Linked DNA regions of Schizosaccharomyces pombe. The protein of the gene in region 1 interacts with the protein of each later gene in a pairwise test. Each region holds a gene or a part of one and is shown on either strand. Other genes may lie near its edges.

What was found. Proteins that work in one complex are often made in the same cells at the same time.
Region 2: the proteins of tho4 (region 1) and pci2 interact in a two-hybrid assay, tested with the Schizosaccharomyces pombe proteins (one study listed by BioGRID).

What each region holds. Positions count from the first base shown.
Region 1 is NC_003423.3:400,334-403,954, reverse strand, and holds tho4 (THO complex subunit), read left to right. Parts: upstream 1-1,589; 5' UTR 1,590-1,605; coding exon 1,606-1,650; intron 1,651-1,691; coding exon 1,692-1,760; intron 1,761-1,813; coding exon 1,814-1,938; intron 1,939-1,955; exon of another isoform or gene 1,956-2,044; coding exon 2,045-2,111; exon of another isoform or gene 2,112-2,271; coding exon 2,272-2,790; 3' UTR 2,791-3,001; downstream 3,002-3,621. Other genes in the region: gid9 (ubiquitin ligase complex subunit), read right to left, coding at 1-397, 448-969, 1,032-1,259; plg7 (1-alkyl-2-acetylglycerophosphocholine esterase), read left to right, coding at 3,271-3,621.
Region 2 is NC_003423.3:3,518,362-3,522,118, reverse strand, and holds the start of pci2 (TREX/TREX2 complex subunit Pci2), read left to right. Parts: upstream 1-2,015; 5' UTR 2,016-2,114; coding exon 2,115-2,246; exon of another isoform or gene 2,247-2,312; coding exon 2,313-2,470; intron 2,471-2,517; coding exon 2,518-3,015; intron 3,016-3,029; exon of another isoform or gene 3,030-3,070; coding exon 3,071-3,322; exon of another isoform or gene 3,323-3,364; coding exon 3,365-3,653; 3' UTR 3,654-3,757. Other genes in the region: EMP70 family endosomal transport protein Emp70, read right to left, coding at 1-1,411, 1,560-1,758.

The DNA of each region.
Region 1 (3,621 bases):
ATCCTTCTCTAGTCCCATTAGCTTCGTTCCAACTTATGAGGCTCTGGATACCATAAACTCGACCGTTCGGGAAAGCAACAGGACAATTGTCGCTGTCAAGTCCTTCGCCTGTCAGAGAATCCACTATCGCAGACTGAGTAATATGGGCATAAGGAAGAGCTTTGCCAAGGTCATTTAAGCAGGGCGTACATACAGGGCATTGTTTCACAGTCTGGGATTGTAATGCTAAAGGATTATCATCATTCGCGTCAAGATAACACAACGGGGTTTTCAGGGAAGATAGACCAGCAGCTAACAATGCATGTAAAAGAGGTACAGACGGTATATTATGAACGGCAGTAAAATTGCTGGTAAACAAGGAAGCCAAATATTCCCATCGGTCATCGGATAGAAGCAACTAATTTGTCAGTATAAGCTAAGAGCAGAGGTCTCTCAATGTAAACTTACCGAATATGGTGAACCATTCGTAAATTCAGGAAAAGCTAGTAGGGCAGCCGCTAGCTGTAGTCGAGCAGGATGTTCATTTGCCCAAGTACCGAAGTGCGCTTTGGCGAATGCAATGGCTTGGCAAAGTTTTTTACTTTTTATTAATTCTATAAATCTCTGTAGTCGGACCTCAAGCTCTAATGTACTATTATTTTTTTTTAAAATTGCTCGATGCTCCGAACACCAAGACAAAACCTCTTTGAGCTCCTGTTGAAGAATGGAATCGTGAATGAGCTGATAACGCTTATATATGCCTAAATCAACCAAATTCTCCAACTGAGAGTCTTTACAAAGTAGAGCAGCTGCCCCATGGTACCCATTCGCCATCATATAATCAGCAACTAAACGATTCAGTCTGACTCTTGACCAATCTAAAAAATCCGCAGATTCCATGTCACGAATTCCTTGAAGACGATTCATGAACAACAGTCGTGACTTAGTTTGCTTGATAAACAGAGCTTCACAATCATGCAAATGCTTCATCTACACAAAGAACCATGTAAGTTACAAATATCCAACTCAAAAAAAGAATCAATCAAACTTACCTTCTTCTTTACAGTACTGACTCTTGAAAGGAGAGAATCTATTTTTTCTATTTTTTCATCCATTGATGCATTCTCTTGACTGATCAACGTTGTCAATGTGGAATTGATCACATGCGATTCATGCTCCAAGTGCCGCAAAATGTGTTTGAAGTTAATGCGCAATTGCTCAAAAGAGAGAAGAATACCAGGCTTTTCAAGTATATATTGCTGCTCTGGACGAAAATTCATGTTTGAAGGCAAAGTCTAACAAACTATTGGTAGATGGACCCAAAAATTTAAATCAACTAAAGAATATTGAATATTTTAAGAATAAGAAAGTAATTAGAAGAATTTGTTTAAATGTAAGGAAAACAGCAATTGCAGAAAGACGATGGGTTGTTGGCGAAAGATACACTTTCTAGGACCGTAGTGCAAGATGAATGAAAAATAAGGAGAGCTAAAAAACAATAAAAAAAGAGGTGCATATATTAATTTATGTCAGGAAAATCTGCAATTGGTATGGAAATCTCCTTTTTGGAATGCCCCGGGTTAATTTTTACCAGTCGACATTTTCGTGCCAAGTACCAATTTTCAAATGTCGCTGGAAAAGTCCTTGGACGAAATTATAAATGAAAGAACGGTAAATTTTTTTATTTTCGATATTTGTTTTAACAATCCTAGAATGGTTTTGATCACAAGCACAGTCGGCGAAGGGGATCTCAAAATCGTATTTCCAAAAAATCGCGATTGGTATGCTAATTTCGAGGATTAAGTGTTTATTTACTAATTTTTTACTTTTTAAGACCTACAAATTCAAAAGAGCATCAAAAGAACACAACTCTAGTCCAGACGATGGCCCGTGGCAGCATGACTTGGATCAAGAGCAGGATGCTCATCCAAGGACCACTCACCTACAGAAAAGACAACAGTATGTTTTGAATTTATAAGATAAGCTGTAAACTTTTTTATTACTCTATTAGCTCTTAGTCTACATGCACTGTTATTATCATTATATACTAACACAGCAATCTTAGCTCAGAAAATCGATTTGGGGTTCGTGTGGAAAACTTACATTATCAGGTTTTGGAAAAAGATGTTTTGGTAAGTGATATATGTTTACTATGTTTTCAAAAGCCTCGCTTTTAGTTTTCGATTGAAGATTATGAAACGAACCTGACAAAAAATCTCCCTGTCAAGCTAAGTAGAGCTTTGTTCCGATTTCGAATCGCTTTTTTTATTAATAAACTAACCTTTTCTTAAGTCTTTGTTTGAAAATTTCCATCCAATTCGCGTGATTATGAACTATGATCGTGCAGGTCGCTCTGAAGGCTCCTGCGATGTTTACTTTGAAACTTCCCAAGATGCTGAAGATGCCCAGAAGACGCTTCAATCTACGAACTTGAAGGGCTCCGAAATTCAAATTTCGAAAAAGTCTCCACCTTCCTTATTCGATCGGATTTCCGACATGCCACATTCAGCCCGCAAACCAAGCCGGTCTTCTCGTTCGAACCGAGGATTCAACCGTTCTTCAAAAAAAGACGACAGATCATTTCGTTCTTCTTCAAAAAAGTCTTCTAATAATTCAATTTCACACGAAGATTTAGACAAAGAACTTGACGAATACGCAATGTCATTTCACGCTGCTTCAACTGTGTCATCTCACTCATCACAGGATTTCACACCGTCAATAGCCAATGCTCATGAGAAAAACGAGCCTGTTGCTCCTTCAAAAGATAGTAATTTGACCGAGGAGATGGACCTCCAAATGGAAGCGGTTTAAGCTCGAATTGCTGTGCAAGTAACCCTTTTCCTATGCCAAAAGTTGATTATTGAGTCAATTGCTTTGATTTGTACATTATAAAAACGAACCGGCTAAAAGGACATCTTTCATCATAACCCCTTACTTTATATATAGATGCTCGTCAATTTCCATCGTCTTCCTTCTTCTACCACAATCGTACGAATCGTACCAAAAATTAAAATTTGCAGCAGACAGATTCATATTACCTTGCAAGGCCAAAAATTTATTAATTTTATTTTTTTTATTTATGTTTATAAGTGCTTGTTAACGAAAGAGATATTTTGTTTTTGTTTCTGGCATTATTCCATTCTATTCCTACTACAGTGATCATAGCAATTAACAATACATCATCACTGTGCTCTTGTAATTTGATTGAATCGTTTTTGACACAATCTTTCATTCTTTAAAATAAAATAAATTTATATATTTCTACATTACATTCTTATTTGTTAGGTAGAAATGGGATTGGGATTTTCTTCGAAAAAGCAATTACCTGCCTACTGTGGTCCCTTGCCTGTGGGGTCTTTAGTCTTAGAGCTGAGTGTTCCAGAGGAATTTCGATGTGAATATAAAACCATTGAACACAAACTAAGAACCGTAAAAGTACGCATTTTTTATCCATTGGACCCAACAAAAGATGTAGAGCCTCGCACCGATGAGCTTTGGTTACCATTCCATGAGGGTATACCCGAAGTTGCGAAAGGTTTTCGTTGGTGGCTTCTTCGTGCGTTCGCTTCTGGTTTGACCAACTTAGCTTTGCCCGTCTACAAAGGAGAGTTGTTTCATCCACCGAACAATGGGAAACTGCCA
Region 2 (3,757 bases), 3.1 Mb from region 1:
ATGATACAAGTGGTTACTAAAATACCGAAGCAAAAGAACGAGAAACCGAACATGAAATACAATGGGTGAAACCATAAACTGTCAAGGATAGAAAACAATTCAATAAGGATTACGAGGAATGGTATAGATCCACCGATAATCGCACTAGGAAAACTCGAAAGCCAAATACTATGAGATGGAATTTGACGAGGGATTTGGTTTGTCCTAACAGGTGGGACGAACTCTCGAGAACGAAAGCCGATTAAAGAACCGACAAAGCTTAATGGTACAGTAAACAATAGATACAGGAAAATGAGTAGAAGCCAGCTTGAAAAGGGTACAGTTGATGATGAACTTTTACTCCAAAATACCATGTTAAAGAAAAGAGCTGCCGCAAGCATAAAACCAGGTACGACAAAAGGAGTTAACAGAAGATTTCGCTTTCTAAGCATACCTTGCATCAGTTTGTAGGATAATGCAGATACATAACCAGAAACGAAACCTGATATAATGAATAAGGCCACCGTTGCTGTAGCTAAACTTCCACGACGAGAGGGTGCAACAATGCCAAAAATTGCAAATAAAACGATACCAGAGCTCATAAAAAGAAGTTGTGCACCAGTCCCTAAAAGGATAGAAAATAGCATGGGTCTACGAGGTGGACGAAATACATCACCATGAACTAGCTTCCAACCAAAATCTTCTTGAACATCTTCTTGATCGACAAAGGCGCTATTATATTTATTAATGTCACGATTTAGCGTTCTGTACAAAATAATAGAAACCACAAAAATTAGAAATGTGTCAATAATTGCGGAATGGATAATAAAGATCCATCGAATTTGCCTAGATTCAATGTGCATATATTTGTCCCATCGGGTAGCCCATGGAGTATCGGAATATTTCCAAGAGACTGAGTAAGAGGTCACGAGAGTAAGATCAGCTCCTTCCGGTAAATACTGTGGATTTGAAGACGAAGAACAAACTGGGTTTCCATCAACTAAAGTAGACTCCTTTGAGACAGGTTTTACATAAGCACCCACAACACGGTGTTGGTCACTAGATGTCGTATGATATTCTATAACTATATCATAATGATTGAATAGAATTACTCCCTTCTCCGTATTCTTGCCTAATGGAAAGCCTGGCGATAATGAGTAGTTCTTTGAGTTAGTCCCTTCTAAATATGTTGCTACGGGCAGATTATCTATGTTCCAGTTAACAACGTAGTTTTTGGAGATTAAATCTCTAATAAAACTGACATCTGAACTGGGAATTATCGAGGCACACAAGGGAACACAATCCTGGTTTTCAAGCATTTTTATTTCAATGGGAGAGTTGTAGAGACGGTCGCCAAAAAGCACACTTCCAAGTGACTCAGATTGTTTTGCGATATTCTCTGGTCGACAGAAGTGGAAACGCTCATCGTAGTCTAAAGTGAAGTTAGTAACAAGCAAAAAAGTTCGAGAGAAAATGTTATATCCTTCATTAAATCATATTTCTATAGTGTTTTCCTAATTTAAAATTGTAAAGTTTTTAAAAAAACACATGAACCTTCATGTGAGCTATCAACCACGTACATTCATAATTAAAGATGTCAGAACCCCGTCCATCTCCAATAAATGGTGAAATGGTATTGACAGTTGTATCAATTGAAGCACCGGGAGGATAGTTTTTCGGACTTAAGGGAGTTAATTGAAAACTAAAACAGGTTTGGAGAAGAACGGAAACGAAAACAACAAAGCTAAATGAACACGAGGGAATACTAGGTAAAAGCATATTTTACTATTTCCCTAATTCTTGGCAAAGACTCGAAACAGAATCTTTTCAAACCGAGATGATTAAGACTAAATCAATATAAAGTGCTACGGTTTTGGGGATTGATGCTGGTAGCATTTAATTTGAGGAATGCTGCTGTACTCTTAGTATGTCTCTTTATTGTGCTATTAACAATCCTCGTATACCGGTTTACGACCTGCTAACTTTCGTTATTCGTATATGAGGTTCAGAACGTGAGAGTTGGAGAACATCGATGTAAGCGAAAACATATCTGTTGAGTTTTCTTGTTATAACTTATTTATCGTTACATAATAATTGAAAGTTTAGTACTAAAAGTTGCGAAGGAACAGGTTGGAATGTCCTTAAATGACTTTCTGCAAACTTTGAGTAACGCTGTTGGAGAGAAAAACTCCAATACGTTGGAGAAATGTATTATTTTAGATCCATCAGAGCCCTCGTTTCAACAGCTCAGTAAAACTCTTTTTTTGGTATGTCGCAGGCTTGCACTACAAGTAATTGTCTTCAGGTTATAACATTAACTAACCGTGATAAAGGATAGAAAGGGGAAAAATAAGTTAAACGGAACCATTCAAAAAGAATTTGGAAGAATAAGAGGTTGGAAGGAATTGGTAACTACCTATTTTGAGTACGTTGAAAATGCTGCATCTTCTCCTGATCAACGAAAATGGGAATTGTTACAAAACTTGTATAGGTAATTAAAAACTTTTTGTTTATTATTTCTCACTTTTGTTTTTCTAGTAACTTGACAACTTGCTTCTCCCATATCGATGGAGCATGGTTGTGTACAATTGTAAAACGCGTTTCAAAGCTTTATGTAAAGCTCTCCCTTCAGCTAGATACATCTACACCTACTTTAGAAGATTCTTTTGATGGTAATGGGTTCATACAGAGGAAATACGTGAGCGATGCATCTAGGAACGTCTTACGAACGTTCAATAGTATACTGAGTGATCGTCAACAAAACATTAACCCTTCGAAGAAGGATGCGATATTCTGTATTGCCAATTTACTTTGTTTACTATATTTTCGCTTAAAGCAAATTCGTCTTTGCCAAACTATTCAAGCTAATGTCATCTCTTCGGGTGCCGATATTTCTCGCGCTACAATGGCGGAATTAGTAACGTTTCGTTATTATTTAGGAAGGTGTCATCTTTATCAACGCAAAATTCATCAGGCAAAGGACCATCTACTTTTTTCGTTTCTTCAGTGCCCTGATGAGTGTTATCATCAAAAAAGGTATGTTTTATTTTACTCAAAAATAGGATTCGTTTATATTTACTAATCAAAAAAGGCTTTCTCTAATCTATCTTACAACGTGTTTACTTATATTAGGAAAATCGCCAACAAAAGGGCTATTAGAAAAATACAAATTGACTGCAGCATTCGAACCTTTAATAAAAGCTTTGAAAAGTGGTGATATCAAGTCGTTCAGATTATCTTTGGAGGACAATTCCAGGAGGAAATGGTTTATCAAACGAGGAATATATCTAACTTTATTGGATAGATGTGAAATCATCCTGTGGAGGAATTTATTTAGAAAGGTGTACGTTTGAGATTTTTTAAAATATTCGACTAATTTAAAAAGGTTTCTTTTTACTTTTGAGCAAAGCCAAAAAACCCCGCACGTATCTGGTTCTTACTTGTTAACCGCGGCCCGTTTAAGTACAAATGATAACTCATATGACATGGACGATGTCGAATGTATCTGTGTTTCTCTAATTGACCAAGGATATATTAAAGGTTATATCATTCATGCATCATCAACTTTAGTCCTTAAAAAAGACCCATCGTTCGGTTTTTCTGTAATAGAGAGCCTTATGCCCATAGCAAGGAATGATCACGCAGAAAAGGAATTTTTTCATGCTAACGCATAATTAAATGAACTCAGAAAACGTAGATTGTTCGAAAATTATACTTAAAATTAATTAAATTTGAATTGACAAATGTTAAGCAAGGAACAGTGTTCAATCATCTTGCT